Astyanax mexicanus: one gene and its partner. The protein of the gene in region 1 interacts with the protein of each later gene in a biochemical or structural test. Links are inferred from orthologs where the notes say so. Each region holds a gene or a part of one and is shown in the gene's direction. Other genes may lie near its edges. The genes, in order: cebpa and trib1.

Region 1 (15,881 bases):
TTTTACATTTCAATAGAACCTACACTAGAGTAGCAGAGTTTGACATTGGAGCAAAACTCGGCAGAACACAGGAATGAACTTGGTTAGCTTAGTTAGCGTTAGCTAGCTATGTTACATTCCAGTTAGCCGCTAGCAGACTAGCCACATTCCTAACAATAAGTACGGCTAGCTAGCTACATACAGTAGCTTAGTTACGTCAAAAGACACAGCCCTGCTAGCTGCTAACTAGCTTTAGTTTAGCCAGCTAATAACTAACTCGTGTTTTTTAGCTAGCTAGTTAGTGTCCTACAACAGTCCCCAATCTTAGAGTAAGTGTCATTAAAGAGGTTAAGTATAGGATATAATATTAGCTAAGCTAACGTTGTAACTACAGAAGTTGTGTTGCTGTAAAGCAGCAGTAATGAAACCTGTTCTGCGGTCCGGTTAGCAACAAGCAGCTAGCTACACAAGTTAGCCAGCTAGCTAACCGAGTATAGGACTACAAGGAATCTCTGTACTTAAAATTCCACTCCGGTTTTCTCCTCTTTCTCCCCTCAGACACACTTCTACCCGTCTTACCTGATCGAGGTTCAGATCCTGGGTTCAGTCATCCACTAAAACCGTGAGTAAATTCGTAGCCGCTCTAGTTGACGGGACAGAGACATCAGCGGAGCTGTTATTGTTTGGTACACTGAGCCGTGCCTGGCAGGATTGCGAAATCGTTTTTACCATGTAGGGAAGTCTGCCCGCTCAGCCAATCAGCGCTCAGCGCCGGGCAGGATGACGAAATGCAGCCTTTGACCGACAGCCCGCTGAACCAATCAGACGGTGAGACACAGTTCAGGGCGTGTTTATGTAACAAGAGAGTCATGAGATCATAGAGAGTGAATTATGCTCAGCTGGAGCGGTGCTGTTAGTGAACTGTGTAGAGTAAAGGTTCTCAACCTTTTCCACCTCACGACCCACCTGAGCATAACAAGAAAGCCCACAAGACAAAAGAAAAGAAAAGAAAAGGACAACTTATACGGCCATGACTCAATTACAGCTCTGGAAAAAAATGAAGAGACCACTTCAGTTTCTGAATCAGTTTCTCTGATTTTGCTATTTATAGGTATATGTTTGAATAAAATGAACGTTGTTTTTTTATTTTACAAACTACGGACAAAAAAAAATCTTTTAGAGCATTTATTTGCAGAAAATGAGAACTGGCTGAAATAACAAAAATGATGCAGAGCTTTTAGACCTAAAATAATGCAAAGAAAACAAGTTCATATTCATAAAGTTTTAAGAGTTCAGAAATCAATATTTGGTGGAATAACCCTGTTTTTTAATCACAGTTTTCATGCATCTTGGCATGTTCTCCTCCACCAGTCTTACACACTGCTTTTGGATAACTTTAGTCCACTCCGGGTGAAGAAATTCAAGCAGTTCAGCTTGGTTTGATGGCTTGTGATAATCCAGCTTCCTCTTGATTATATTCCAGAGGTTTTCAAATTGGTAAAATCAAAGAAACTTATCATTTTTAAGTGGTCTCTTATTTTTTTTCCAGCACTGTATTTTGTTCTGACACCTTAATAAGTCTTTCCCATGCATTAGGATCTTGTTCACATGCCTTAATAAGCAATGGCCACAAATTAATATATATTTTTAAGGCTCCATAGAGGCTCCATAAAAAATGTATATATAAAAATATTTTTAAGCTGTTTCCCTGTTGTCTGCGATGGTGACAGATGGTGACTTATTATGTTTATTTTGCCAAATTGCCTTTGGCATTACTCCAGCAATATGTTTCTATTTTTTGTTTTTCTATTATGTTTATGTAATTTTTATAGATTTTTTCTAGTGATGTTAATTGACTAAAAACTATTCTGTGATTAATTGTAAATAATCACATTTGTTCTTAATCCAAAAGAGGCTATCGTGATGTATGTGTCACAGGCCCTTCAAAAGCTGTGTAAAGTTCCTTACAGCACTATATAATATTTTTATTTCTGCTCCTGAAGTATCACTGACCTGTAGGGGTGTAGGAAAATACCAATATTGCATTGTAGTCCAGCATTAGGGTTCAGAACCACTCTACAGGACTTTAGTATTTTAAGGAGTTGCTTAATGGATTGGCAACCAGAATATATGAGAATAGACAGACATCACTAGCACTTAAATCAGTGGTTAAATTTGCAACAAATAGCATACTTTAGCAAAATTCCAGTAGACAGGCTGTTATGCTGGTAAGCTATGTTGGATCAAAATGTACCAGCACAACACAGACTAAAAAAAAGCAGGTTTCTAGAAGAAAACTCTTTATTAAAGCACCTTAATGGGTTCCTCTACTGCTTTAAACTGAAGAACCTCCTCAAAGAAGTTCTACTTTTAACAGAGTACCAGCTCTGAAACCTAAGGTTGGCCCACCAATAAGGGTGTGATATATTTTTGGAAAAGGCTGCTCACTAACCAACTGGCTTGCTTGCTACTATATTCATCCATATAATTCATTTTAAATTCTAATGGTGGGCTTATCCTGTTAAAACAAAAAAAAAAGAAAATATTTTTGTCTGTCTACTGAAACGTTGCCATGCTAGACAGACATAATGAGCTTTGTTAATGCTGTAAATTAAAAAATATAAATCTAAAACGCATTGTATTTTATCAAGAATTATTTACCTTTGTTATTGTTTACAGTGGTGACATGAGGTTAGACTAGTGTGTAGTTTGGTAAAATTAGCAAAAAATAATCAGGGATGGTGGGGGCATGTCTCTATAACTCTTGGAAATGCTTTACTTTGTCCCCAATACATTCTGAATTTCCCTATTGCCATTAGAAACCCATTCGGATGGAAACACACATTCTCTAGTGTAATCAGATATCCAGCCAGTATGCATTACTGGGCCAACTCTGACTTAGAGTCACCAATTTCAGCACAGCTGTGGGGCTGGATGGGTAATTATTATAGGAAATATTATTAATGAGAGCATATTTATGCAAATGTGTATCAGTAACTTGCATGGGTTGGTTCAACACAAATAACATTATTTTAAAATTTAATGCTTTAGTTAATAGTACAGCCCCATCCGGCATCCCTTTTTTAAGTTATACTACACTGTTATAACATAGAGAATAGATCAGTTCCTTTTATTTTTGAATGATATTAGCAGTTTTGGTCTTGTTATTTGGCTCTGCCCCATCATTTAGCACAATACTATACAGTGCAAGCATCTGTTAGCAGATATTAGAGAATTGGGAGACCAGCAGACAGTGTGACCTGAGGATCATTGGTTCCAATATTGGATCATAGTGCTTGCCATCAGCAGACGGAGTCTGAGAGAGCACAACTGACCTTGCTCTCTCTGTGTGGGTAGATGTCGCCCTTTCTCCCAGATCGTTCCTAATGTGTTGTTGGTCAGCACAGGCATCTGTTAGCTGATGTGTCGAAGCTCGGGTGCTGCACATTCCTCTGAGTGCAGTTGAGTGCATCCCCAGTGATGCTGCATCAGAGGTATTTTGATAAGAGGCAGGTTCTGACCCATAACACACGTATCAGAGGAGACATATGTAAGTCTTTACCCTTTTAGTGTTGAGGGGCATTTGTAGTGATAGAGGGAGTTCAAATAAATGGGGACTGGGTAATTGCCCTTACAATTTGGGGAGAAAATTAGGTCAAATTGCAAATATCCAAATGTGTTTAGCTGTCTAATGATGTCACATTATCAGCAGTTTAGAAAGCTGTAGTTGGACTACCCTGAACCATTGGGGTTTTGTAAGTGTAGTTAAGCCTGGACAGATTTGGTCATTCACTGTGCAGTGAATTACAGTTGTATGCCAAGGTTAAGGCACCCCTGGCCAAGATATCTATTACAGTAAATTGCTACATCTGTACACTGGGCATGTTTTCATGCATCAGGCTTGTTTAAGTGTTCTTTTAAAGACTTCTGAATCTGATGTTTGTGGCAAGGAAAGTTTTTCTTCCATCTTCCATATATTTGTAGGTGTCACTGCACAGTAGAACGGCGCACCACTACTTTAGAGTATGCTAAATATTTCAGAAATTTTAAGGTCTTAAAAACGAGTTGAAATAGGCTTTCCAGAAATCCAATAAGCAGTTCTCAACTTGACTACTTTAATTATTTTTATGAATTAGGAAATACTTTCCTTAAAACACTTTGCTTTGATTGTCTTGTAGCTGTTGATAGTTGAAGATATTTAGTCCTAGATAATTAAGTTATGAGACCTTAGTAAGAGTTCTCTAAGTGCTATTGGGTTGTACAATTATATTATATTATATTCATATAATAATACACTAACCCCTACCGTGATTTTGCTATTCTGTGTGTGTATTCAGTGCATGGAATCTAATATAACCATCACAATCATCTCGCATGTCACCAAATCAGAAAAGAAATCTGATCTAGGATCACAAATAAAAAGCTATTTTGACATTACCAGGATGAAGTGATTCAAATCAGGTTTTGTGTCAAATCAAACTGACACAGATTTGATTTTTTAGGGCGGTGTGAATATGACAATCAGATTTGACTACTTTTCACGTGTGTTCAGATACATATTAAATTTGTGAGGAAACAACATAAATGTGAACGCCCAGATCAGATTTAATGCATCTTTTTTTTAAAGCCCCTGCTTTAATCATAATTAGCCAGCACCAGTGTTGTGCTGAACTTTTTGTGCATGCATGTCAGTAAGCAGTATGGGCACAACAGATTATGCTTATGATTCCTGTTGTTTCTGTTTATGAATAACTATTATAATTAAACTTTCCTTCACAACAGCCACAGAGTCAGATTCTGTCAGGTAGTCAGATTCTGTCAGGGTCATTAATGAATGTGAATCATCAAGATCACCATTTTAATATGAGCGAAAAATCTGAATTGATTAATGGGTCCTGTAATGTGTGCAAAGTAAATAAATCAGATACAATACAGATAGAATAGATATGCAATATTGGACCACATATAAAAGTTACTTATTCAAATCTTATTTGAAAAAGTCTGGATGGCTTTGAAATGTCCACTCAACCCTAATACACATTAAGGCAAAAAAAATCTGATTAGAAACACTTTCTGGTAACGTGAATATGAGGCTGTATCCGTGTTTTAGAAAGGGCAAAAACAGAACTTGTTTAGTAGAATGTCTAATATTTTAACGTAATTGTTAGGAACTCAGCTCCTATTGACTGTGACCACAACAGTTTAATATCCAATGTATGTGAATATTAAGAATGTAAAACGTAGTCATCAGAGATGTATAGTAATGAAGTAGTACTTAAGTTTTACACTGATAAATGTTTATGTGCTGCATTGTTACTTATTCCAAACACACATTATCACTAAAGCCAGAGCGGCAGATGCTCTGTACTGTCACTGGGTTTGATGAAGGTGCTCATCAGTCATCACTGAGTGAATCAAGAGATCAAGCTGGTCTTATGAGAAGACCACACTGCTCCAATTCTGCATTTCACTCTGCTGCTTGCCTGTAATATTATATTCAAACTTTTGACTGCTTTTTGTAAGAACTACATAACACAATACTTTTACTTTTAGTACTTGAGTACTACATTTTGGAATAAACTAATTGCAGTACTTAAGTACAGTAAATGTTAAATACATTAATTGTAGAGCTTAAACTACACTTCAACTTCTACTCAAGTGACTTTTTTGATAGAGCACCTGCACTTTTTATTCAGGTCTCCAGTACTTTATACATGGAAGATAACATCATCATGCATAACCTACTAAATTGAGTAGTGAATTTATTGAATGGGTTAATGTGCAGTCCAGTTTATTGGAGGGTGTTAAACCTTTTATCTGTCCTATTTATGTTCACCATCTACAGTGTGGTTTCAGGAAATCTGTTAATGAGCAGCTTCTGACGTGTTCAGATTGTGTTGGACGTGTCTAGCATGACTTAGATTTACCCATAAAATGACGTTGTACATATTTACATTTCTAGCCAAAATATGAATGCCGGCCAATCAGGTAAATTATCTCAGCGGCCACCAAATGCATATTTTTTCCACATTGCTACATTTTTTGTTAACATAAAACGTATTGTTGCTTTTTGTTTAACCAACTTTCAGCTATTCAAACCTTTAAATTGTTTTTTTTTTACAATGTACTTGATTTTATATGAAATGCAATCTAAACTTTTTAAAGTTCATTACAGACAACAATGCAACCAAGACTTAGCTAATCATGCCAAGTCATTTAATTCAACATAAACAGAAAACAGTGTCCCACACAATGTCCGGTTATTGTGAAGATGTTTTTATTTAACGATCTCCTCGTGTGCGCTGTGTTTCCGAGTTTACCGTAACTGTTCCAGTCTGATACCGGTTATTACAGAAACAGCTCACGTTCTGGTGGGATGTGTATGTTAATATGTAAATGAAGCACTGGTGTCGCGCGCTGTAGCGGTAGAGGGAGCTCCCCGCTCGCCCTCTGCGCTGATGTGGGAGTGTGCGCGCGCGACCGTGTGTAGGCTATGTGTGTGCGCTATGTGCGCGAGTTTGTCGACGAGTTTGATTTGGCAGACTGAAGGTGAACACACGCACACACACACACACACACGCACACGCACGCACGCACACTTTTTGTGCGCTTTAATATCACACACGCTACTGATTTTAAGTTTAGATTAACGTTTATCATTATATGCATCATTATACTGTTTATTCATTTTTTATAAGTTTTTTTTATATTAGATTCAGCATCTATAAATGCGTTTTGGATTTCTAAGGTTCTAAACTGCTGAAAGCTGGCATTGAACATTTTTACTGCGTTTTACTGTGAGGCTGCAGAACTATCAGACAGAGATACCCACAGTACAACTGGTCAGCTGCGAAAGAACCAGTGCAGAATCATTTTGGTTCATGTTTTTTTAAAGGTTTGTGCTTTTGCTATTTTTTATTATTTATTTTATATTATTTTTATAGAAGGAAACTAACTTCAATAGATCAGGTTATACTATACAAATAAACTAATAAACATTTTATTAGCACGTTCCTGATCAAGTGTACAATTCAGTCGAATTAAACAGATACAAAAATTTAGATAAATTTTTATCTAAATTTTTAGCAATAAAGATTATTAGCGTGCAGATCAAATAAAAAATATGTATAGATCATATACATTATAACAATATCCTGTAGATATATACGATATAAGACTGTAGCTATATATTTTGTACATATACTAAAATATTGGTAAATACAAGCAATAGGCTATTTATTTATGCCTGGACAAGGATTAAGCCTAATAAAATACTATTTTATATTGTCCTTTTAATAGAGAAAATCTACATTCACAATACTGTGTAGTCCTAGATTTAAGACTAGACTTAATCCCTGTCTGTGAAACTGCCTATATATGTATTATCATTATTATTAGTGGTTATATATATTGATTGTTGCCGTTGTTCAGAGTGTGCAGTTAGGCATACAGCTTACTTACTCGTTCTGTTGCAGCGGAGTCTGCAGCTCTTTCTCTCTCTCTCTTTCTGTCTGTCTATCTCTCTTTCCCTCTCTCTTTTCTCACTTAATTTTGTGTCACTCTCTCCAAGTGAAAGTTATATTTATATAAGGCTAATATACAGTGTGTGTTATAGGCTATATAATATTTGCTTCGTTAAAACAAGACAGATGTGTGTTTTTTGGGGGATTTGCATGAACAATCTGAAGTCATATATCTCTTGGATATCTCTCTCTGTAAGTGTGTGTAAATGCGCTTAAAATCGACTCTCGTATTCAGAATATGAGGTGCTGCCAGGACTGCACGCTGTACGTGTGCGTTAGTTTCTGTCTCCCTTGTGTGTGTGTGTGTGTGTGTGTGTGTATGTGTGTGTGTGTGTGTGTGTGTGTGTGTGTGTGTGTGTGTGTCGCGTTAGGACCAGGGGCGCGGCCGTGCAGCTCGGCGCACACGGCTCTATAAAAAGCTCGAGCAGTTCGCTGTGTGTCAGACGGGAGGCACACGAGCTCAGTGAGAAGGTGCTGCTGCTCTACACGCACGCGCAAGCAGTCAGGCACGCACGCACGCATACTCACTCACTCACTCACCTACCCACCCACCTACCCATACGCACACACAAGTGCGCTCGCTCACACGTGCAGAGCGAGCGGGACCTGAGCGGGACCCCCGGCGGAGTGGCTGGCGCGCCTATACGCGGACGGACGGTCGGCGAGAGCCCGCTAAACTGGATTCCCGGAGCTCGTCACCATGGCCGGCGGCGTTTAGGTCCTCAATGGAGCAGCCCAACCTGTACGAGGTTGCCCCCCGGCCACCGCTCACCACCCTCTCTGCGAGCCCGCACGGCGCCTACTGCTACAAGGACGACCTGAGCGAGATCTGCGAGCACGAGAGCTCCATCGACATCAGCGCGTACATCGACCCAGCAGCGCTAAACGACGACTTCCTCGCCGACCTCTTCCACAGCAGCGGCGGCGGCGCAGGGGGACTTGGCGCACGGCACGACGCCAAGCTCAAGCTGGCCGCGGGTGACTACAGTGGAGGCTACGGGGACGGCGCGCCGCACGGCTACGGCTACGCGGGCGGCTACGTGGACCCGGTGAAGCTGGAGACGGCGTACGAGGCGCGCATGAGATCCGCGCTCGCCATCAAGCAAGAGCCGCGGGAGGACGACGAAGCCGGCCACGGGCCACCAATGCCGCCGCTGCCGCCACCAGCCTACCAGCACGCGCACCAACAGGGGCACGGACACCACCATCCTCCACACCTGCAGTACCAGATCGCGCACTGCGCGCAGACAGCCGTGCACCTGCAGCCGCCGGGACACCCGACGCCACCGCCCACCCCGGTGCCCAGCCCGCACCACCAACACCATCACCACCACCAGCAGCAGCACCACCACCACCATCACCAGCAGCACGGCGGCTCCATCAAACTGGTAGGAGGAGGAGGCAGTGGTGGTGGAGGGAGCGGAGATCGCTCCAAGTCCAAGAAGCACGTGGACAAGAGCAGTGTCGAGTACCGGCTGCGGCGAGAGCGCAACAACGTGGCCGTGCGCAAAAGCCGCGACAAGGCGAAGCTGCGCAACGCCGAGACGCAGCAGAAGGTCGTCGAACTGGCATCGGACAACGAGCGCCTGCGCAAGCGGGTCGAGCACCTCACGCGCGAGCTCGAGACTTTGCGCGGCATCTTCAGGCAGCTGCCCGACGGCTCGTTTGCCAAGGCGGTGGGCGGCTGCGCCTGAACTGACGGGGACGGTTTCTCTCGGTTCTCCCCTCTCGGTTCTCAGCTCCGCTACTCACAGCGTCCGCCGGATGGACTTCAAAGACGCGCGACACGATACTGAAAAAAGTGTTTTCCACACGAGCCAGGCAGCTGCGGTCTACATGTGCCTTTTGTACAAAAAAAATATTATTAATAATAATATTAATATTAATAATAATAATAATAAGCTCATGTCTGCACATATTTGAACTTGTGGACTTCATGGCTGTATTGAAGTTGTCTTTTCTGCCAACATATCATCATCATAGTCATCATCAGTGCAGCTCACGTAGGGCATGATTTCACTTCAAGCAACCGTCCTTCATGGTTCTGAAAGGTACCAACTTTTTCTACCATCACCCACAACCTTCACCCACCACCTTCATCCCCCCTCCAAGACTGTCTTTTTATGTTTTATTTTCTGCAAAGATAAATCTGCTCTGCGTGCACGAGCCTATTTGGTGTTATTTCTTAGAGACAAATACACAAAATGCACGTGCACAAAAAAAAAAAAAAAAAAAAAAACTTTGTTTTGTTGTTCTAAACATCTGCAGACATCGAAACTTGTTGAAAACTTGCAAGGCAAAGACATAGAAATAAAGGTGCGCAGATCAGATAATCAGATGAACCATAGTTCAGTACTGTAGTCTGGGATGTATTTTGACTGTAATGATGTGGTCTATGGGGGGCCGGTGGTATTGGGGCGGTTGGGGGGTTATGTATCTGTATGTATGCGTTTTTGTATGTGTACGTAAAGCGGACTGAACATGATGCCAATGCCATGCCAAAGCAAAAGGACTGGAAGCCCAAACTCTCTAAACTGTGGTCTAAACTGCTGCCTTCAGAGCAGCGGATTTATTATATGCACTATGTGTGGTCAGACTGATGGACCTGACGGAGCGCACGATTTTTTCGGGGTACTGATGTGTACAAGCTTTGTATTTATGCAGTAACGATGCTGGGTGGAAGGGTGTGTGTGAGTCTGTGTGTATGTGTGTGTGTGAGAGAGAAAGAAAGAATAAAAGAGTGTGAAAGGAAAGAAGGGGTCACCCTGCGCTTTCTCATCCCACCCCACCCCCGTGAAGTGCTGTTTGTAGCTCAGTTCATGTTCTTGTTGTTTTTTTTATTGTTTTTTTTTTTTTTTGATGAACTGAATTTCAGTGCCTTTCGACTTTTCCTGTCTCTATGTCACCACTGGCAGAACTTGTTTCTCTCTCTTTCTCTATGTCCCTCTCTCTCTCTCTCTCTCTCTCTCTCTCTCTCTCTCTCTCTCTCTCTCTCTCTCTCTCTCTCTGTTTCTATCTCTATCTTTTGGACTCTGTAAATCTTTGAAATACAGGCTAGAGCAAAGGAAAAGGAAGCACTTTTTTACAAACCGCCTATTGCAAATGTTATATGAATGTTTTAAAAATACTTTTTTTTTCAATTGTAAAATGAACATTATATATGCCAAAAATTTACAAATTATAATAAAAAGAGTATTGTGTTACATTTCCTCTTGCTGCTATCTTACTTCCATAGTGCTTACAAAGGTCAACAGACCTTTGAACTGATACGTGTGTTGGTATCTGTGTATTTCAGCTTCAAGACATATTTAAGAACCAGTTTAGTAAAAAAAATTATAATAATATATACTCCACAAACTCTAGACTTGGTTTAGAAATTGTTCAGTTATTAATCCTAATGCAGAAACAACTGTGAATGATTTGGTAATCATTTAGTTTAGCATATCATTTGGAGACCTACAGGGTTCAATTTTGGGGGCTATGAAATTGATGATAATTACGACAGCAGTGTTGTTATTAGAATTGTGGGCTTATACACAGTTTAAGGAGTTTAAGGGGTTAACTGCTAGAGAAAGAAATAGAGCATTTACTATAATGCTCGTTTGACCACTTATTAACTGTGTGTTGTGCTAACATGCTGTAGGAGACCCTGCATGTTGCAGTTTAAAGGTTACAGTACAGTAATGATTCTAAAGCTGAAGACTCTGAGTCTCTTGAGGATCAACCCCCTGTTGCTCTTGCCTCTAAGCAAATCTACTCAGGTGCAGTTATACTGTTTGCCAATAGACGGCGCCTGTAAGTCGCCTGACTTCTTTAACTTCCATGAGTCATGTTGAAAACACTGCTGATTACAACTCTGTAACTCTGGCATTGTTTTGATACAAAGAATACAATGCAGTATCATTAAAAACCCACCATGTCTAGATACAGATGTAGGTCCAGGTTTCAACACATTTACAGTGTGCAAAACTGACAGACATTCACTCTTTAACTGTATTCAAATGAATCCACAGCCACCACACCAAAAACAATTGATGCATTTACCTTAGAAAGTGACCAATTCTTACATTTACCATCATTATATTCTACAGTGTTCACCTAAAGGGTTAGATTCCATTCTTTATACACACATTTCCCTCCAAAAAAATTTCAGTCCACACAAAGACAAAAATGAAAAAGAGAGAAGCATTAGATAGATAGATAGATAGATAGATAGATAGATAGATAGATAGATAGATAGATAGATAGATAGATAGATAGATAGATATTTTTTTTATTCTAAAGAAGCACAAACAACAATAATAGGGGCGGTACAGCATAATTAAAAAAATAAGGTGCAGTAAGAAAATTAAAATTTCACTGCATACATTTTGAAAAATATTTTCACCTACACAAAGAGACAGAAAAGAGAAGAGGTAAAACTTTGAAAGAAAGAAACTGAATGTTTAAAACAACATATTTCCTTCTAAAAGAAAGAAAAAAACAGCTTTCCCTTGAAGCTACATACACACATATCTGGTTAAAACCAAAAAATCCCTCTGTTTTTTAAAAACATATATTTTAGTCCCCACAGAGAATTAGAAAAAAATAGAAAGAAATAAGCATTAGAAAGAATTACAGATTTACATTTAAATCACCCTCTCTTTTCCCTTTAAAAACAAATACTATTTCCACTAATACTACATTTAGACACATCTGGATATGTATTAAATAACTGAGATTTGGTTTCCTACATTAAAAAAATATATTTCTATCCACATGCAAACACAAATTATAAAGAAGGACGCATAATACAGAAATACGTTTGAAAAAGTAAAACAGTAACTCTCTCCACCTCCACCTAAAAGAAAAGACTGCTTTCCAAAACAGATATTTTCTCCCCTGATATGTTAAAAATATTTCAGTCAACACAGAGATTAGCAGAGTAACTTACATTTGAAACCCATTTCCCTACTCAAAAAGGAAAAAAAAAAACTTGCATAAAATGAGACATCAGGGTAGAAGTTTAATTCTAATACAGCTTCTTAAAAGTTGTGTTCCGTGCAAGAATTCTGGGTTTTAATTAAGGGAATCAAAATAGCGTACTATGTATTTATAATAGAACAAGCAGCATTTACATGCATTCATATTCATATTCATATGTTCTGAACAGCCTGAAAGCTACTGATATCAAAGTGTATACGTTGTAGTTTTATGACTTATCAAGTTAAGAAATTTCATTGTCAATTCTGCATATTGTCACTGTCCAATGAAAAGCAAGTATCTCCAAAACAGCGACTTTACAGGAAAGAGAAAAAACCTTCTACACTTTCAATGGAAGTCAATGTAAAATTGACTTTCAAGTTTCAGGGAATTTGAAGTATTTCTATTGGTCCGTTCATCAAGACATTCTGACAGTTTAAGGGACAGTTTGTTCAAATTCTGTAGTAAACTAAAAATCAGCAAAAATGGAGGTACTTGTTTTTCATTGGACAGCGATGATATGTACATTACAGAGAACTTTGGTTACTTTCTTTCCCAAAGTTACAGAAAAACACCCAACAAAAAAACAAAGTAATAGTTGACTAAAGTACTGCAAAATACAATTATAAATCATAAAAGAATGAAAGTTTATAGACAGACATATGTCAGACAAGAGACACTAGACAATAGTGCAATAGCAGAAAGGTGTGTTTTGTGACATCAGTGTTTTTTTATTATTAAAACTAATTTTCCCCAATCCACATAACAATAACGAAGATGGAGTTCTCTAAAACTTCTCCGCCTTGGGTTTTTTTTTTAGAGATTCCTCAAAGCACCTTAACCCCTTTAACCCTCTATGTAAACCCACATGTCCAATAACAACACTGTTAATAATAAGTATCATCTATTTCTTCAAGGGCCTTAAAATTGAACCCTGTAGGACTCAAGACCTTGAGGGAAACTAGCTCATTAACAGTTGTTTCTGCATTGGGATTAATAACAGAACAATAGCTGAACTGAATAATAATATATTGTTATGGCTGCTATGGGGTTCATTCATAGTTTCAAATGGAGGAGCCTCTAAAGTTCCTAAAAGTGATTGGACTTGATTGGACCGGATTGGAGGCTCTAAAATCCCCTTAATCTTGTTTAAGCAGCGCAGTCAGCGCTCCTGAGTGTGTCGGTGGTAATCATCCCCTATAACAAATATTTACTATCAGCTCTTACATATGCTGTAGATCACACATTACACTGCTGCGTCATCGGCGGAGCTGATAGCCGCTATCTTCCTGACCGTTCGTCAACACCAGTGATTGATTGGGGCTTTTGTCTTCATCTTTGAATTGATCAATTTGTCAGAGTATGATCAACAATTGAACACCACTGATAAGCACAGCAACTCCAAAGAGGCAGATAGAGTGAGTGAGTGAGTGAGTGAGTGTGTATGAGAAAGAGAGAGAGAGAGACAGAGAAAGAATTAAGCCTAATGCCCGAATCAGACTACACGAATTTAGCCCGATTTCGTCGGATCCGTGTAGTATGACATACAGGGGTTGGACAATGAAACTGAAACACCTTTCATTTTAGTGTGGGAGGTTTCATGGCTAAATTGGAGCAGCCTGGTGGCCAATCTTCATCAATTGCACATTGCACCAGTAAGAGCAGAGTGTGAAGGTTCAATTAGCAGGGTAAGAGCACAGTTCTGCTCAAAATATTGCAATGCACACAACATTATGGGTGACATACCAGAGTTCAAAAGAGGACAAATTGTTGGTGCACTTCTTACTGCCGCATCTTTGACCAAGACAGCAAGTCTTTGTGATTTATCAAGAGCCACGGTATCCAGGGTAATGTCAGCATACCACCAAGAAGGACAAAACACATCCAACAGGATTAACTGTGGACGCTGTAAGAGGAAGCTGTCTGAAAGGGATGTTCGGGTGCTAACCCGGATTGTTTCCAAAAAAACTTAAAACCACGGCTGATCAAATCACGGCAGAATTCAATGTGCACCTCAACTCTCCTCTTTCCACCAGAACTGTCCGTCGGGACAATAAGTTATTGTGGTCTAAAACCAGGTGTTTCATTTTCATTGTCCAACCCCTGTAGTCAAAGAGAAGTTTTCTGGACCAGCGAAACAGAATAAAAGTTTGTTGAGCTGTGGCATCAATACCCTGCCTTTATTCTGTTTATATTCTTTATTTATTTATTCTGTTCATTCCTTTATTCTGTTTCCATGCACTGAAACCTAGCTAAAGTAGCTACATCTTTACTATACCTCAAGTTCTCTCTGGAGTACACAAAGCCCTTGATGATCTCTTTGGGTCATCCAGGAAAGAGGCCACAGTTGCTTCTTCCTCTTCTTTTTGTGTTTTTCTAAGCACAAAAGCACTACCATCACTCAAAGCGCTTCGGTAGCCATGATTGTCAGATTCTATGCTCCTCTCCCGCGATGACCTACGAACTGTGTGCTGCCAGTACGACACAAAACAAAGATAACTGCTTAATCTGACCTAGTGAACATTGTGAGGGACAAAAAATGGTGTGTAGTCTGAGCTTTGCATGAAAGAGAGAGAGAGAAAGGGAGAGAGAGAGAGAGAGAGAGAGAGAGAAGGATATGTGTGGAACCTGTGGAGGCTTGATCATCGGCTCTCCTGTTGCCGTTCACAGTGTTTGAACACAATAAGCAGCAGAGTGTGATTGAGTGAGTAAATCAGCCCTCCACACGCTCTCTGATGAGCAGGAGAGAATGATGGTGCTGGAGGAATGCACCCGCACGCACCTACTTCACCCCTCACAAACACATCAGATTCAAATCAGTAAACCCTCTCCACCTCCACCTATCACCACCCCCACCCCTTTTCTACTAGTCTTCTCTTTTTTTCTTCTTTTCACTGCTCTCGCTTTGCATTTCTTCTCTCTCTATTCACTTTTTCTCTTTTTTGTCTCCCTCTCTTGCATGCTCTCACTTTTTACTCTCTTTCTATTTTCTCTCTTCTTGCTTTCTCTCTTCTTCATTTCTTTCAATCTTTCTCTCCATCTATTCATCTTGCTTTCTATCCTCTTTCTCAATTTCTCTCTCTCACTCTTTTCTTTTTAATCTCTCTATTTCTTCCCATTTTCTTCCCAATTTACACGACCAATTAACCCACCCACTCATTAGGACTCCCCCTATCACTAGTGATGCCACAGCACCAGGAGGGTGAAGACTAGCACATGCCTCCTCTGATACATGTGAATCAGACTGCGCCTCTTTTCCAACATTGGCGAGTAGCATCACAGCACTATCGGAGGAAAACGCAGCAACTCGTTTCCGATACATTTTGTTCTGCGGACATCACCTTTTGTAGTGTAGAGAGCGTCATCTACGCACTCAGAGAAAGCAAGGCCAATGTGCTCTCTCAGGGCTCCGGAAGC
Region 2 (16,283 bases), on another chromosome or scaffold:
AAGCACAGGTAAAAGCTGGTGATTGGCTGAGGTAAAAAGAAACAAGCGTACAGAGCTCACAGTTCTGCAATCTCAGTTTGGTCAGCAATACATTTAAATTTGAGCAACTCCAAAACATTGCAAAATGTGCTGCAGCAAAATGATCTGCAATATTGTGTAAGATGTTTAGTCTGTGTTCCTTGCCTCGATTTGTTTACTGTGAATTCCTATCTGTATGTTAGAACTCCCCTTATCACCTGGGAGGAGGTTTATTTATTCTCTGGCTCAAGATCTTGTAGAGCTGTGGTGTTGACAAGCAGGCAGTTAGACAGTTGTGCCACCTTAGGTCCAGAGGTGCACAAATTATGTAAATTTTCAAATGCAAAATGCACACACATACAGAGATTGGCTAGTCCATGTACAGAAGTAGTGCCAATAGAATAGAACTCTCTGGAACATATAAACATGAACTTGTGGAGCATTGGCACTGTGTTCTCTGGAATGACAATGCTCCATTCTGTATAAGATGGTTTGGAAATCATCCAATATGTTGACCTGCTGTATGCAATCAAATCCTCACCCTTTTATAATACTCTTAATTTTGGAATAATGGAATAATGAATAAGCAAGTGTCCTAATATACAGTATTTGTCCTTAAAGAATACATATTCTTAAAAAAGAGTGGAATAGTACATTCATCCAGAACCATTGTTATGTATTGTAATTTTACAACTATATAGTGGAACAATGGTCTAAATGTTTGTTCATCAAAGAGATCATGTGGAGATCATAAGTTCAAATTCCAGCAAGGGTTCATCACTTTATTGTCAAAAGCCTCCCAGTCTTGGGACATCATGTAAGAAGAGTAATAAACACACTCAGACTATAAATCTTACAAAACAAAATTAAGCTATTTCAGCTGAAGCACATTTACTAATGTTTCTGAGGCCCAACTCAATATGTTTTGACAAAAAATGTCAGTTAGTAGAATGTCTGGCTAATCTTGTCAGGTCTGGTGCTAAAAGCACTGCTGTCTCTCCCACATTCAGCGCTGCAGACGATCTCCAGTCTCCCAACTACACTTCCCAGAACACACCACACTCTGACATCACGCACTCACCTGTTCACCTGCCACCACCCGGAAGCCCTGAATATTGATTACCCACACTATAAAAACCCCCTTCACTTACACTTTGTGCCGAGTAATCGATTGGTTAGCCCTCATTACAAAGCATATTCTGGTTATCTATATTTTTGATCTCCTGGTTTTGACTCTCTGGTTTGTTATTCTCGATTCTGATTTTTGCCTTCTCCCTATTGTTGGAACTCTGTGTATTACCTGGACTGTTACCGTTTCTGATTGTTTGGATTATCCTCTCTTGTTTGCCTCCCCGTGCATGAACTTTGGACTGTCCCTCACTCTGGTTAGTGCTTTTCCTCTCTGGTTGTTGTTTGCTCCCGCTGACCTTATATTTCAGTCTGACTACCCTGTTGTTATTATTGATATCTGCTCTATTTAATAAAATATTCTTTATACTGCATCTGCGCTTGTCTGAGTATATCTGATCATTACAATCTAAGTTGAGTTAACTTAAAAACACTTCTTAAGCAATTACTTAACATGTATACAGGGTTGACATTGTCCAGCTGAGATCATGGAAGAATGAACAGACTTTGTTTTTCTAACATGCAAAATCAATTACAGTCGCAAAATTCAAACAGCCTAACTTTAGCTGTTTGAAATCCAATGCCATCGCGTGTTTAGCTTTATTTGGCACTGTACCGACTGAAGTCCACAGCCACTGTATGTGGGAACTGGATCATGTAATCCATAGAGATTTCAAAATCTTTTATTACCCTGCTAGTGAATGCTTCTACCTTGGCAACAGTCCAGGACTCATGCTGCACATACCTCCAGTTGAAATGCAGTGTCTGTGGAGAGGGGCTAGCAGCTAGATTAAAGCAGGGCCGGGTACGTTTCGCAGTCTGCTGGACTCCAGCTGGGAGATAACACTCCCTGGCAGCTCGCGAGCAGCCGGGCTCGGCAGGTGTAGGAATGCGCTCAAACGTCTACTGTATGTTTCATTTTTGATGCCGCCCTCTCTTGACGTAGTTGTAATGTGTGCTGGAAAGGCAGCTGCGGCTTAGAGTAATTGCCTGGGGGCAGCGAGCTCAGGGCCCTCCCAGACTTTTGTGTTGAAGCCCAGAGCAATTAGTCTGACTGTAGTAGTCAGAGCAAAAAACAAGGCTCACACATTTCATCACTGTCATAATCAAATCTGGCACCTTCGTTATTTTAGGCAGAATTGTAAACATTCCATCATGAGAGGACTAACAGAAATTGTCAAAAATCTGTATTCAAATAATGTACTCTTGATTGGGGTGTAAAACGCTTAGATGACTTTTAACAAGCTTATTAAAAACCCTGTTATTTTGCATCGGAATGAAATGTAGACAAGCTCTGCTTTTATTGGCAGGTTTATATCACAGCCCAGAGCAACCACACATTATATCCAAGCCTAACCTAGCATAGCTTAGAACATAAACAACAACACACACACACACACACACACACATTATGACATTGCCCTGGGGATATACAGTTTTGGGGTCCGTGTTGCCATCTCTCTCAAGTGAAGGATGAGGCACAGTCTTTTTGCAAAGGTGGGGGAATCTTGGGTCTGCCCCACACCATGACGCACAGCCCCGGTCTGTCCCAGCTGTCATGCATTGGACTGATTAGGCAGCCAGATGGGACAGAGCGGGGCTGTGCGACATGGCGTGGGGCGAACTCAGGATTCCCCCACCTCTGTATATCACAATACATATACATATTCCAAAGCTGCACTGCACCAAATAACTTGATTTGATTGCCTGCTGTAAGCTTTTTTGCTACTCTAAAAGTTGCATTCTGATTAATAACAGTATCAGTATCAGTCCTTGCTTTAGTGATCTAGTGTTAGCTTTTAGCCTAGCCAAAAGCTCCAGTGCAGTAGATAATAGCATTCATCTTTGCTTCAGTCACTCTGTCTCAATTTGTAGCCTCTCTAAATCTTCCAGTGTACCACATAAGAGCATCAGTCCTTGCTTTAGTGGCATAGTGTTAGCTTTTAGTCTAGCCAAAAGCTCCAGTGCATTGAAAAATAGCATTTTAGCTTTTATTCACTCTTAAACCTCCAGATAAGAGCATCAGTTCATTCTTTAGTCCTAGTGCTATCTTTCAGCTGTTCCAAAAGCTCATCAACAGCATCGGTCCTTTGCTTGCTTTGCCTGCTAGTTGTTAACTTGGGTAACAGCATCTGATCTTGCTTTGCTCACCTAGCTTTAGCTTTTAGCCTTTCCACCATTGTTTACATGGTTTACATGGTTACATGGTTTACATTGTTTAAATTCTGAAGTAGTAAATTCTGCATTTAGACACTAGATAGTGACCTTTTTGTACGCAAAAGTTGGGGGAAAATACAATCTGAGGCTGTGGAATTTGCACATTTAACAGCTCTATTGTACTCAGGCGAAAGAGGACAGGAAAACAGTTTGAGGTTCATGGTCTGTCATCACTTCCAGTTTCAGACACAGCTGAATGACAGTATTATGGTCAATAGCAGCGTTCTTACATAAAGCCACCCCTGTCAGAACACCTGCTGAGCTGAGGAATGTTCAGCATTCAGATCACCTCCCAGTTTCTTGATTGCCTCTGACAAAAACTGCCCATGGTTAAAGTTCAGCTATGATTATGATGCATCAGTCTTGTCAAGGCCGGATCTGCTGGTGTTAGTCATCGCTGGCGTTCAGTGTACGTTGCCTGTAGAGAATAACTTACACCTGCTTCAATTGCCTGGTGCCTGGCCACTCTGTGGAAAGCATGATCAGCAGGTTCTCTTTACTGCTGGCAGTGAGTGAGTCAGCTAATTACAGTGGAAAAGAACCTTGAACAGGACTCCCGAGTGGAAATTATCTCAAATGGCCAGGTTCACTGGAACACACACACACACAAATATACACAGACGCTGCCCAAAACACTTCTCCCAACACCTGTTTATGTCACAACAATGTGGAAGCCGACATTTCCCATGCAGGTCTGGGAAAGCTTTACACAGAAGAACCGAGGGAAGGAAAAAAAAACAGAAGCGTAAAACCTGTTCTGCCTGCATTACTGTATGACCAATACACATATCACAGCCTGAGTCATCTATAAGAAAAGATCACTGAAAACATGCCTACTATAAATAAACTAGCTTTTCATGGCAATATTCCCACCACGTTCTAGCCTGACGGCTCATTTCCACAGCAGCTGTTTGTAAAGTGTTCGCTGAAGGCGGCCAGGAACAGTTGCAAGCAGCAATTATAGAACCTGCTCCCTCGCTCTTTTATAGCATGTGGCATTGTGATGACAAAAAGGTCAATTGTCCTGCATTCACTTTGAACATACAGTAGAAAACATAGCTCACAGTAGGGGTGGGCAGTATGGTCTTAAAATAACCTTATAATAACATGTTTCAGGGTATTTTTGTAATAATGACATTCTAAGTCAGCGTTTCTCAACCTTTTTTCTATCACGACACCCTTCAAATATATGCGAGATGTCACGGCACCCCAGTTTACCGGGGTGGGGGGGGGTGGGGTGCTGGCGCAGTACTTCAGGTGAGAACGGGGGGGTGGGGGGATTGGGGGGGGTGCTGGCGCAGTACTTCAGGTGAGAAGGGGGGGGGGGGGTGCTGGCGCAGTACTTCAGGTGAGAACGAGGGGTGTTGCTGGCGGAATAAAATAGCGCGTGCATCGCGTGGGGGACAAAAACTTTACAGTGTGTCCCAATTTAGGGGCTGCATCCTTCAGAGGCTGTATTCGAAGACAGATTGCGTCACAGCTGCGCAGTAATACACCGCCTCTGTGGGTCGCATCCTTCAGAGTATGCTGCCTGTGAATTGGGACACACCCCGACACGAGCTGACTCTGGAAAGGAAATATGCACGTGAGGCGCAATATTTTGACGGCACCCCCGATGAAGCCAGACGGCACCCTGGTTGAGAAACACTGTTCTAAGTTATATGGCAAAAACACTGAAAAATACTGTAGTGATTTCAAGAATATATGAGCACAACACAACAGTATACAGAAATAGAGTCTATAAACTTTTGTCTATTTTGTAAACAACAGTATGTAAAACTCTAATTTGGTATAAAACAATAATAATAATAATGTAATACAACAAATGATGTAATGTAAAATATTGTAATGCAACAAAAACAAATTGACCACAATACAAACCCAAGACCAAAATACACTGTGAATAAGTATAACCTGGAAACATATACAATTATACATAATTATAGCAATTATAAAAAAAATTTATACCATTTTCTCCCCAATTACCCAACCTACTTATATGGATTCAAAACACTTATATATACCCTTAAAGCTTCACAGTAAATAGCAAAACAAATGCAAAATAGAAGAATACAACTACTCTTATGACATGTTTTTTTTATTGTTTCAAAAATATACAAACATCACTGTGTACGATACGATATATGGCACACCCCTAGCCCACAGTTGCTATTGACACATTCTTTAATTTCACTCTATTATTGATTCCACCTGTCATAACAGTACTTTCAGCACCAAGTCAGCAATAAATCTTTCATTTTAATGGTGCAATAGATCCAATCAAAAAATGCAAAGCCTCATTAGTCTCATCTCCTCAAACAAATTAGGTTCTGATGGACTTGGTGATATAACAAGTTCGCTGGACACACACACACACACGCACACACACACACTGCATTCCCAACAGAATACTTTGAAGACAGTGGCCCTTTCTGCTCAAGCAAACAGGTGCCTGTCCAATTAATCCTTTCCCCAGTAGAAGCCAATGAAACGGGGACAAAGGTTCGTGCAGGACGTCTAAAAACCTGGTCAACAGTCCATGTGGGCCAATACATCTCTGATTTCAAAACACTTTGACATGCACTTCCTGATTTAGGTCACACTCTCGTTCTCCAATTAAATGTGCCAGCCAAGGTTACAGTGTGTCAGCTCCAGAAATTACACTTTAACAGCCTGGAACAAAGATTTATCTGGTGCCAAGCCCATTATAGTGTTCACCATTAGCCCATCACAAGTGCTATAAAGGACCCATAGTGTGCAAAGTTTTGGAAGCTTTTGTGGAAGCTTTTCGTACTTTTTAAATAAAGCAATTATATAACTGCTGTTACAGTGATAAAATGTCCTAATCTATTCACAGTCCTTGCAGTTAATATTTCTAAATCTAAATAGCATTTAAAACAATGATACAGTGGTGTGTGGATTCTGTACATTTTCCAAAACAGCAAAATAAAGAGGCATTTGTCACACCTTCCAAGTCCTCAATAACAAACTTTTCCACCTTAATGAACTCTAACCCCCAGAATGCACTTCTCAGTCATGTGTCTCAGCCAGCCTATCAGCACCTAATTAGTAGATCAGCATCACCTGAGTTTTGATTCCATTCAGCTGTCCTCCCATTTAGAAATACCTCTCTGTTTGTTCAGCCTGTCTTGAAGTATTTCCCCTGTTGATTCAGCTGCATACCAAGCATTATTTCTTTGTTTATTTCTGTGTATGACCTATTTTTTTGTCTGGCCCCTTTAGCTAGTTTACCTTGGTATTTTTGCTCTGTTTTTGACCCTTATTTTTCATCTGTCATTTATCCCTCTTTTTTGGTTCTGTTTTTACCTTAGGCTGTAATCAGGCTGCATTTCTTTGGTTCTGCCCTGTATATTAAAGTCAGACTTTTTTAACTGCAAATGTCTCACTCCAGTCTGTGGTGTTACAATATTAATACATGTTAATAGTTAATGTGAATGTTTCTGAATTCAGTTAATTAGAACAATCAACAATACAATATATTATAATATAATATACAATAACATGTTTTAATATATGCTTAATACACATTGAGCTTGGCTTGAGTGTTAGAATTAGAATAAAACATTCCAACCTTATATCTAAAACACAGCTACAGCTAAACATACAAGTCTTAATGCAATAATACGGTTCAAAAAGCTATGATGTAATATAAAGGATGCACATTGCAAACTGCAAAAACAGCTCTTTTGTATACATTGCAGCACACTACAAGGCAGGTGATCAACCAATCAGAGCAAAGTTATTTACACATAAGCACAGCAAGGTTTATTTAATTTCTTTTTTTCATTTTAATTAACTTCTTAATTTAGCTAACCAATTTAACCCACCCACACATTGGGACTCTCTCTATCACTTGAACTATTGCCAATGAGTCAGTATGCTCGGAAAAAAAGCTCCCAATTCCAGGAGACCAGCTCTGATACATCAGAGAACAGATGCCTGTGATGGCCAGTATGACTGTAAGAGTGATAAGGAAGAAAATGCCAACGTTGATAGCCCAGAATGACCTGGGATTCACACTCGTGATCCTTCAGGTCATAGTGACTTATTTGGCTGAGTCACTCAAGCTGGTTTGCTTCTAACAATAAACTTACAGTCCACTTGCACTTTTCTCAATGCATTTCACCACGCCAGATCTCTTGGGTCACCACATGTGGATGTGTCTGTATTTTTTTTTTTTTTTCATGAAAATGAAGCAAACCTAGAAGTAGGCAAACTTTATTTGTAAATTAATCATATTTTTATTCTGGAAATCCAGATGCTGATGATGTAAGCTGTTTCGTTATGTTTGAAAGACATTTGTTCTGTGCATGATGCTATGATATAATATGGTATGATGCACCAACCTACTCTTTCTTGATTATACACAATGCGACCAAATTCATTCCCAGGCTGCCCTTACTCAATATGACTTGTCATCCACTGTGCACATATGGAGGCTGTCCTCATTAGAATAAATATAATACAGTGAAGAGGCAAGTGAAAATTTTATGTTTTAGCATAGGGGTTCTCAATTGGTCTCAGCCTGGGACCAATTTTCTCATGGTCATTAAGTTGCAACCCACTTTTATAGAACACACTCCAAAATTGTTTTTAAATAGCCTCAAAAAAACAATTTAAACATACATATGCTCGCAAAATGAATTTAAGAGCATTTTTTTCTAATAAACTGAGGAGGAACATGACAACTACATAGGTTAAAAAAATAAAAACTGCACAAAATAAAAAAAGGCCACACTGAAGTGTTTGTTTTTTTTGTGCACCAGGAGTGGCATAAATATATCCAAAAGCAGTGTGTAAGACTGGTGGAGGAGAGCAGCCAGAATGCATTAACACTGTGATTAAAAACCAGGGTTATTCCACCAAATATTGATATCTGAACTCTTTATGACTCTTTATATCTGAACTTTATGAACATGAACCTGTTTTCTTTGCATTATTTGCGGTCTGATAGCTCTGCTTTTTTTTTGTTATTGCAGACATTTCCCCTTTTCTGCAAATAAATCCTCTAAATGACCATATTTTTATTTGGAATTTCGGAGAAACGTTGTTTGTAGTTTATAGAATAAAACAACAATGTTAATTTTACTCAAACATATATATATATATATATATATATATATATATATATATATATATATATATATATATATATATATATATATAAATAGCAAAATCAGAGAAACTGATTCAGAAACTGAAGTGGTCTCATTTTTTCCCAGAGCTGTGGGTGAGAAAAAAGATCCTACAAAATATTACATACGGTCTTGTTGTCTATTTGTCCTGTCTTGATATGGGCCTTTAATTGGGCCAATTCACAATCTGTAAAAACACTGACCTGTCCAAACAAAAATGATCTGATCAGAACTCATCAGCTTATTGCTAAGGCCTTCCTGGATCAAGTGGATCGGGTGTATCAGTTCCTAAAATTAAGCAGGGCCTCCATGCAAGGGTCTCCTGCACAGACATCAGGAACCCCTGATTTAAGCCATGCAAACCATCTGAATCATAGACTGTATATAAAGATGGACGTCGTGTCGCCGTTCCCATTCATTCAATGAAAATGAAGCCAAAATCTTCCGCCATTTTGGCGATTCAGAGACCAGAGTCTGCACAGTAGAGACCAGAGGAGGGAGAAAGGCTGTGGAGAGACCGCCTACTCATTTAAATAACCCCGCCCCTGAGGGCTGCCTCGCGGTCACAGACTGCAGAGCGGGGCGGAGCGGAGCTGACGGTCTGTTATTGGTCCCGCCCATAAGCAGCCCTTTTACCATAACCACACCTTTTTTGAATAGAGCCGAATAAAGTTTTAAAAACTGAATTCTGTGGGGATATAAAAATTTGACAATATAAGCAGAGGTTACACTAGCTGTTGCATTTAAATAATGGAGGTAGAATTACAGTATATTAGAAAAAAACGTGATTGAAAGTTGTCTGTTTTGCCATTGAAACCTATGGGGATGGGTGGAGTTACACAGCTTTCTGCAGCCGAACAGCAGGGGGCGCCCGACCTGTGGTGGCTTCACTTTTAAGAGACGATGCTCTGTCCAGCTATATACAGTCTATGATCTGAACCATGTTAAGCGCTTGGCCTACAAAAGGCACCTCACCACTCCCCAGCTTTTCCTCTCAGAGCAGAGATGAGTCACATGAACAAACAGGCATCGCTTAAACATTCCTCTAACGTCCACCATTGCTGCAGTTTCCTTTAAAACAGATGCACTGTACACAGGCAGGAAAGCGCTGGAAATCACGGAAAACGCCTTAAAGAATTTGAAAGCTGTGCCGCATCTGAATGAATGATGAATTAACGAAGAGAAAAACAACAGCAGAGCAGCAGTGCGTTTCGAAATAAACTAGGTTAATCATTGCCCCAGTGCCACACACGTGTTTCCACGAGGAACACATTCAGTGAAAGCTGTGTGTTATGAAGGCAGGCTTCAGTGTTGTTAATGTTGTTCTCCTGTGAGATACATGATATGGGATATGTGCAGGAGCAGCAGCAGCGTGTCAGATAAATCCTGTACATCCTGCAGCAGTTCATAATTATTACTATCTGAGAGTGGCAGCAGAACCAAATGATGAAAATGATAAAAAAAAAAAAAAAATCTAACTGAAAGTGGAGTTTTGTCATTCACCGCGACTCTGCTTGGCTACGTGTGGCTGATTGCTCAATCAAGCTGAGCTCATTATGTGACATGGGAAAAGCGAGCTGAATGGCGTTAGGTGGTTTATTTTTATATTCCACCCGTTTTCAGCAAACCCCGCCTCTTGTGCATTCTTATTGGCTGGCAGCATCCAGCCTCCTGCTCTGTACCTTATTGAAAAGCGCTAGTAATTAGTACTACAAGTGCGTGTAGGTGCGTGTGAACTACTACCGGCCAATCCCAGTGCGAGAGGCGGACGCTGCTAGCCAATCCGCTTGCGTGGAGGGCGGGGTGTACCGCAAAACGGGTGCGTTCGAAAAATAATAACGCCGCTCTAAGCGGGCGGAGTTCCAGCTGTCGTCGTGTGCGAGAGCTTCAACATCACACGGGCTTTTTAACGGAGCGGCTGCGGAGACCGGGGGTTTCTGGAGGTCGTCTCTGTTTGTGTTTTGTTTCCTGGGATCAGCTGTCCGTCCACACACTCCAGACTCGGCCTGAGTGATGGACTGAACCCGCTGAAGCGGCTAAAAACAGCTTTGTTTTGCGACTCGACTCCACTTTTTTTTGTCTTTCAGCGAGAAAAGTTAGTTTAGCTAGTTAACCTCTCTATTCTGCAGGAATATATGACTGTCTGAAGTCGTGAATGTGACACCACGGAATACCCCCCTTTTCCAAGGACTGACACCCACCCCCTTTTACCCCTCTTTCACCCGCTCTTTTACCCCCTCGGCTCCACCATGGTCGTGCACGGCTGCAGCGGCACCACCACCACCAGCAGCCCGGCGCCCACCTGCGCCCGGCCGGGCAGACGCGCTCACAAGCGCCTGGACAGCGACGAGCCAGTGGCTAAGTGCCCCAGGCTGAAGCTGAACGAGGCGGCTGCGGGCGACCCCGCTGCCCTCGTGCCCTCTCCGGGATGTCCTCCGAGCGGAGCCTCCCCGGGGTCACCCCCGGTCCCCCAGGGTCCGTCTCGAATCGGCCGCTTCCTGCTGCTGCCCCTGGCCGAGCGGGCAGGGCTCCACAGCGCGCTGGATACAGTGACCGGAGAGGAGCTGCTGTGCAAGGTGAGCTCAGCTATTTAACTAGTGTTTTGACTGACTCCTGGTCAGCACTGAGCGGATCAAACATCAGCATTATGATAATGAAGTGTAGTAATGCATTTATGCTATGCATTAAAATGACTCTGGTGTATCTGGTGAATAAGGTATGCACTCTATATATATGCTATCTATAAGGTGCAACGTTATATATATAGGCGTATATACTGTATACACTCATTCATTTCAATCATATGATGAATCATATATCATATATACATTGAATCATCTATACACTGTGCAAACAGTTCTAGCTATACACTGCAGGGCTGTATGAGTGGGAAGAACCTTGCAATAAATATCATGATACATGACGATAGTGTTATATGTTGCAATGCTGCAAACAAACCAGAATACCACAATTTTTAAACAATAGAAAGAAATTTCATGGAAATTCTCACAGTATAAATACACACCACAATATACATATTCTGAGGAAGAGTAAAGTTTGTTTTATGCAGTCTGAATATTGATACTATGTTGTTGAGATCAGTTTGATCAGTTGAATCAATCTGGGAAAAAAATTGGAGACCATTTCAGTTTTTGAATCAGTTTCTCTGATTTTGCTATTTATAGGTATATGTTTGAGTAAAATTAATTTTTTTTTAATTCTGTACACTACGGTCAACATTTCTCTCAAATTCCAAATATAAATTTTGTCATTTAGAGCATTTTTTTTTTTCAGAAAATGAGAAATGGCTGAAATAACAAAAAAGATGCAAAGCTTTCAGACCTCAAATAATGCAAAATGCAAAAATGTAAGCAGTTAAACTTGGTTTAATCTTAATTTAATTTCAAAGGTTTAATTTGGTAAAATCAATTTAAATGGTAAAATAATTTGTAAGTGGTCTCTTATTTTTTTCAAGAGCTGTAAATATATTGTTTCTTACACTCCTTATAAAAAGGTTGATTACATGGAGCAAGGCCTGATTGCACACATCACTGTTTGAGGTGTGCACTGTGCAATCAGTGATTCACACTGTAGGTAGGATTGGGCAATATTGCAAAATTATTATATCCTAATACTCAAAGAGATATTGTATCTGTCCAAACGATCCCAAACAAAAATCTCTTCCAATAGAAATCAATGTAAATCGATTTGATTGAAGTCAGTTCATTCGTCATTTATACATCAGGCACTCATGCTAGATTTAAGCTATCCCACAATGTGAAAAACTGTGTATGGCAATAATTATATGCATAATTTTGATACATAATCATCATGCACTGGTGGTGCCAGATTTAAAAACCATCAAAAGCTCCGGTACAACAGATGCAATTGGCTTTCAATTAATCAGGACTAATTATGCCATCAGTAATTAATTACACACACAAATTGAGTTGTTCACTATGCACTGTCAGTAGCCATGGAATGCTCAGAAACCATATTGTCACAATAACAACATTTTACCATCATATTATCCACCTCTGCTTCAAACCAAAGCATTTTGTGGAACCAACTGCTCAGATTCTTCTTAGCTCAGCAGTATTGCTTTGCCAACAATTATTAATTCGCTTCATGGCACAGTTCCGTTTTTTTATTCGTTTTTTTTTAGGTAGGGATCTTCACATATGGTTTAGCACATAAAGGATATAGGCTAGAGCAAATTCAATGTGTGTAAAATGGCCTTTCACTCAGAACATTTCACTCAGAGCATTTCACACACAGTCATTTCACCTGCCTGCTACTCCATGCAGTTCAAACTCTCCAACCCTTAGCTTTAAGCATAGCAAAGACTGGCATGCTTCCTCTAATCTTAGTGATATTGCTTTGCCAAGCATTAAACGCAGGCATCACTGCATAACAAGGTCTATTTTAGACCTAGAAGCCACACATGCAACCCATATAGGCTGCAGCAGATCCAAGCGATGTGTAATTACCACTAAATGTGAGACTTCACACCCTCCATTGTGTTGATAGGAGTTATTTGCATGCGTCAGCCACAGAGAGCTGAAAAAGAAGAAAATATTTCAGGCAAACCAAGGCTGGCGTCGTGCACAAACAGAAATAGACATTGTGCCTTACACTATAAATGGAGAAGTGGGGTCAGGCTGATTAAACAGCCAGCAGTCATTGATCCCTACTTGCTGATGAGCACTGTGGTGCAGGCAGGCAGATGAGGCTAAGCCTGGCCTTCAACAGTAAGCTGTCTCCATCTGACAGGGCGAGGGTTAGTCTCTCATTCTGTTCACATTAGATGAGTTTTTTTGAGCATGATCTGTGCTGATTAAGAGTCTATATTACGTTTAAGTTTAGCTGAAAATCCAAACTACTTGGAAACATGGTTCATTCTTGGAAACAGGGGGCTACTCTGGTCTGCTACAGCTGTAGCTCATGGTTACCTCAGACAGTAATTTCTATGCATTTCCCTTTTCTTAGAAGACCTGATGGCTAAAATACACTTATAATAGGAGCCAGAGGGAAGCTGTTTCAGAATCTGGCCATTGGCTCCCATTATGAGTGATCTGAGCCTATTTACTTGCTACAGGACTAGAGTGCATTAAAATTACAGCCTGTAGGCATCGACCCTGTGCTACAGATACATCAGAGAGAGAGGGAGAGAATTAGCTTAAAGTCTTTCTTTAACCCCTTCTTTTTTCATTTTTCATTGTTTGCTGAGGACACTTACAAATGTAGCACAGAAGAAACGAGGGGTTTTAGCTGAGTTTAACCAGTGCTAACACTGATGATATAACCAGGCCAGTGCCTATTGTATATGGCATTTATATATACTTATATATATATATGTATTTTATTTTGAGCACATAATCCATTCTGTATGGCATTTAAACACAGAAAACTGACTTGTTGACATTCTCATGGCTGAAAGGGTTAAGCAGTGCCTTGCTGAGCTGGCATTCATTTTTTTTATCATTTGATTGCTTCATGTGTTGTTGTTATTCCTGACTCTGCCTCCACAGCAAATAAAAGCAGTGCTATGTTGTAACCTACAGGTGTTTAATATGGGACAGTACCAAGAGAAGATCAGGGCCTACAGCATGCTGCCAAGGCACAGGAACATCGCCCAAATCAAAGACATTGTCCTCGGGGAGCGGAAGGCTTATGTGTTTCAGGAAAAGGACTATGGTGACATGCACACCTTTTTGAAGAGCTGCAAGCGGGTGCCTGAGGAACAGGCAGCCAAGCTCTTCTATCAGGTGGCCTCGGCTGTCTCCCACTGCCATCAGGCTGGCATAGTGCTGGGGGACCTCAAGCTCCGCAAGTTCGTGTTCTCAGATGAAAAAAGGTGAGGATGGCTGCAAGATTGAGAATTAGTTTGTGAGTGTCTTTGTGTGTTTTTATTGTATTATTATCTCTGAGAACCCTGTCAGTGTCCAATGATGGGACAGCATTGAAGGGACAACTTGAAAAATAGCTCTAGAGAGGGGACTTGCTTCTTGTCCTCAGTCCTAAAAGGTTTGGGTTCAGATAAGGTTTAAGTTTATGTTTAAGTTTAGGGTTAGGCACCCATTGCTGACACAGTGGCACACAAACAAACACATACACACAGATTTATCTAGTTCCTGTAGGGAATTATTGCCGCTAGAACAGGACTCGCTGGAGCAAATAAACCTATTGCACCTGTTGACACTATTCTGACATTGTGTAAAAGCAACCTATCCAACCATTGTATGTGTGTGGAGGAGGGGTGTTGGGTTTAGATGTGCAGGTGGGGGTTGTTAGGTGCAGCAGGAGAGCCTGTGGTCACTCAGGGCTGTAGACTGCAGTATTCCCAGCAAAGAGAAGAGCGAGAGGGGAGCATCAGTTCTGGTTTCATTCAGCTCTCACTTCCTTTTGCCTTTGTGATGCACCACAGGTGCTTCTGCGGAGCCTTTCAGCAAATGGATCTCTATACTATGGCACTTACTCATGTTTCTGCAGAAGAGGAAGCGCAGAATAAATCAGAACTGTGGCTGTTCATGTTTCATTAGAGAATAGCTTGTAGAATGTTCTAAATTTTGTTTTCTGTTTTGCAATGCAAACACACATGAACTGACCGGTTTGTTTTAGAGGGGGTAGTCACGATACAGTGGTTACGATATATAGTATAATGAGATATATTATATATGTGATATGTGAGTACAACACTGCTCTATATTGTTTGGGGTTTAAAAACAACACAAAAGGAACCACTGTCTGCCACCAATATTTATAAATGAACTAATAATTAAAAATAAAAAATGTGTTATGAAAAAAATATATCACAATACTTTGATATATCGATATTTTCTTACACCTTCAGATTGTCCTAAATTTCTGTGCTGTTTTGCAATGCAAAACACACAAGAACTGGCCGACTGTTTCTGAGTAGTTCTTTTGCTATAGATTTTTTTATTCAATAACCAGTGATGTAATACTATTGTCCTTTAAACTAATGCCCCCCTGAGTACAGTAGTAGTTTTTAAACGTATCACACTTTTCTACACCCAAGCTCTCCACATTAAGCTTATGCCCCGTGGTAAAATGGAACGGGTACGCATCTAGCGTTCAGGAGTGTGGATACATTTGTCATTTCTGGGGCAGCATTTTCAAACGCGACCTTTGGGCAGTGGTGCAGTGTGAGTGAATAGAAATGGACAGGCATGTGCAAGAGGCCAGAGTCACCCGGCTCTTGTAGCGGTGCGGGTGCAGCAGGATGACTCATACCATTGCAAAGGGTGGGTGGGTTTGGCGGAGGGGGGGTTGTGGACTTGCCGCTCTGGATCCTCAACCTGCAGGCTCTCAATTCCTTGGCCAAAGGCAGAAATAAGCCACAGAGAGCAGCAGAACTGGCTGCTGACATTGCGACACCCCGCTGCCAGCTTCACCCATCCGACCTGTCTAACCCAGACAGTGTCATAACCTGAGTATGCTGACATTTGGGCAGAGATGCGGGTCAAAGCCGCAGCTAGGTCACCCTTTTTAAAACATTTTCTTCCTGTTCTGTGCTAAGCAAAGCAACAAAGCCTACAAAACTGCACAAAAGAGGAATAATCTGCTTTTGTGAAGGACTCTGCTTTTGTCTTTCGTAGATCCTGTCACACACATTTGCTTTCATCCTGTTTTCTCTTTTATTGTTTTTTTCTTTGTCTTTTTGTCTGTGTCATGCACATGGAATTCTTCTTCGCACGAACGATGATGCTCAGGTGCACAAACAAACAGACAGAGATAATG

The links.
Region 2: the proteins of cebpa (region 1) and trib1 form a complex in vitro, tested with the Homo sapiens proteins (2 studies listed by BioGRID and IntAct, with this or other methods). The link is inferred for Astyanax mexicanus from reciprocal best matches to the Homo sapiens genes CEBPA and TRIB1.

The regions. Positions count from the first base shown.
Region 1 is NC_064430.1:12,440,629-12,456,509, reverse strand, and holds cebpa (CCAAT/enhancer-binding protein alpha), read left to right. Parts: upstream 1-7,926; 5' UTR 7,927-8,227; coding exon 8,228-9,196; 3' UTR 9,197-10,707; downstream 10,708-15,881. UniProt on the Homo sapiens protein: Transcription factor that coordinates proliferation arrest and the differentiation of myeloid progenitors, adipocytes, hepatocytes, and cells of the lung and the placenta.
Region 2 is NC_064410.1:43,222,238-43,238,520, forward strand, and holds the start of trib1 (tribbles homolog 1), read left to right. Parts: upstream 1-10,367; 5' UTR 10,368-10,768; coding exon 10,769-11,095; intron 11,096-14,083; coding exon 14,084-14,376; intron 14,377-16,283. UniProt on the Homo sapiens protein: Adapter protein involved in protein degradation by interacting with COP1 ubiquitin ligase. The COP1-binding motif is masked by autoinhibitory interactions with the protein kinase domain.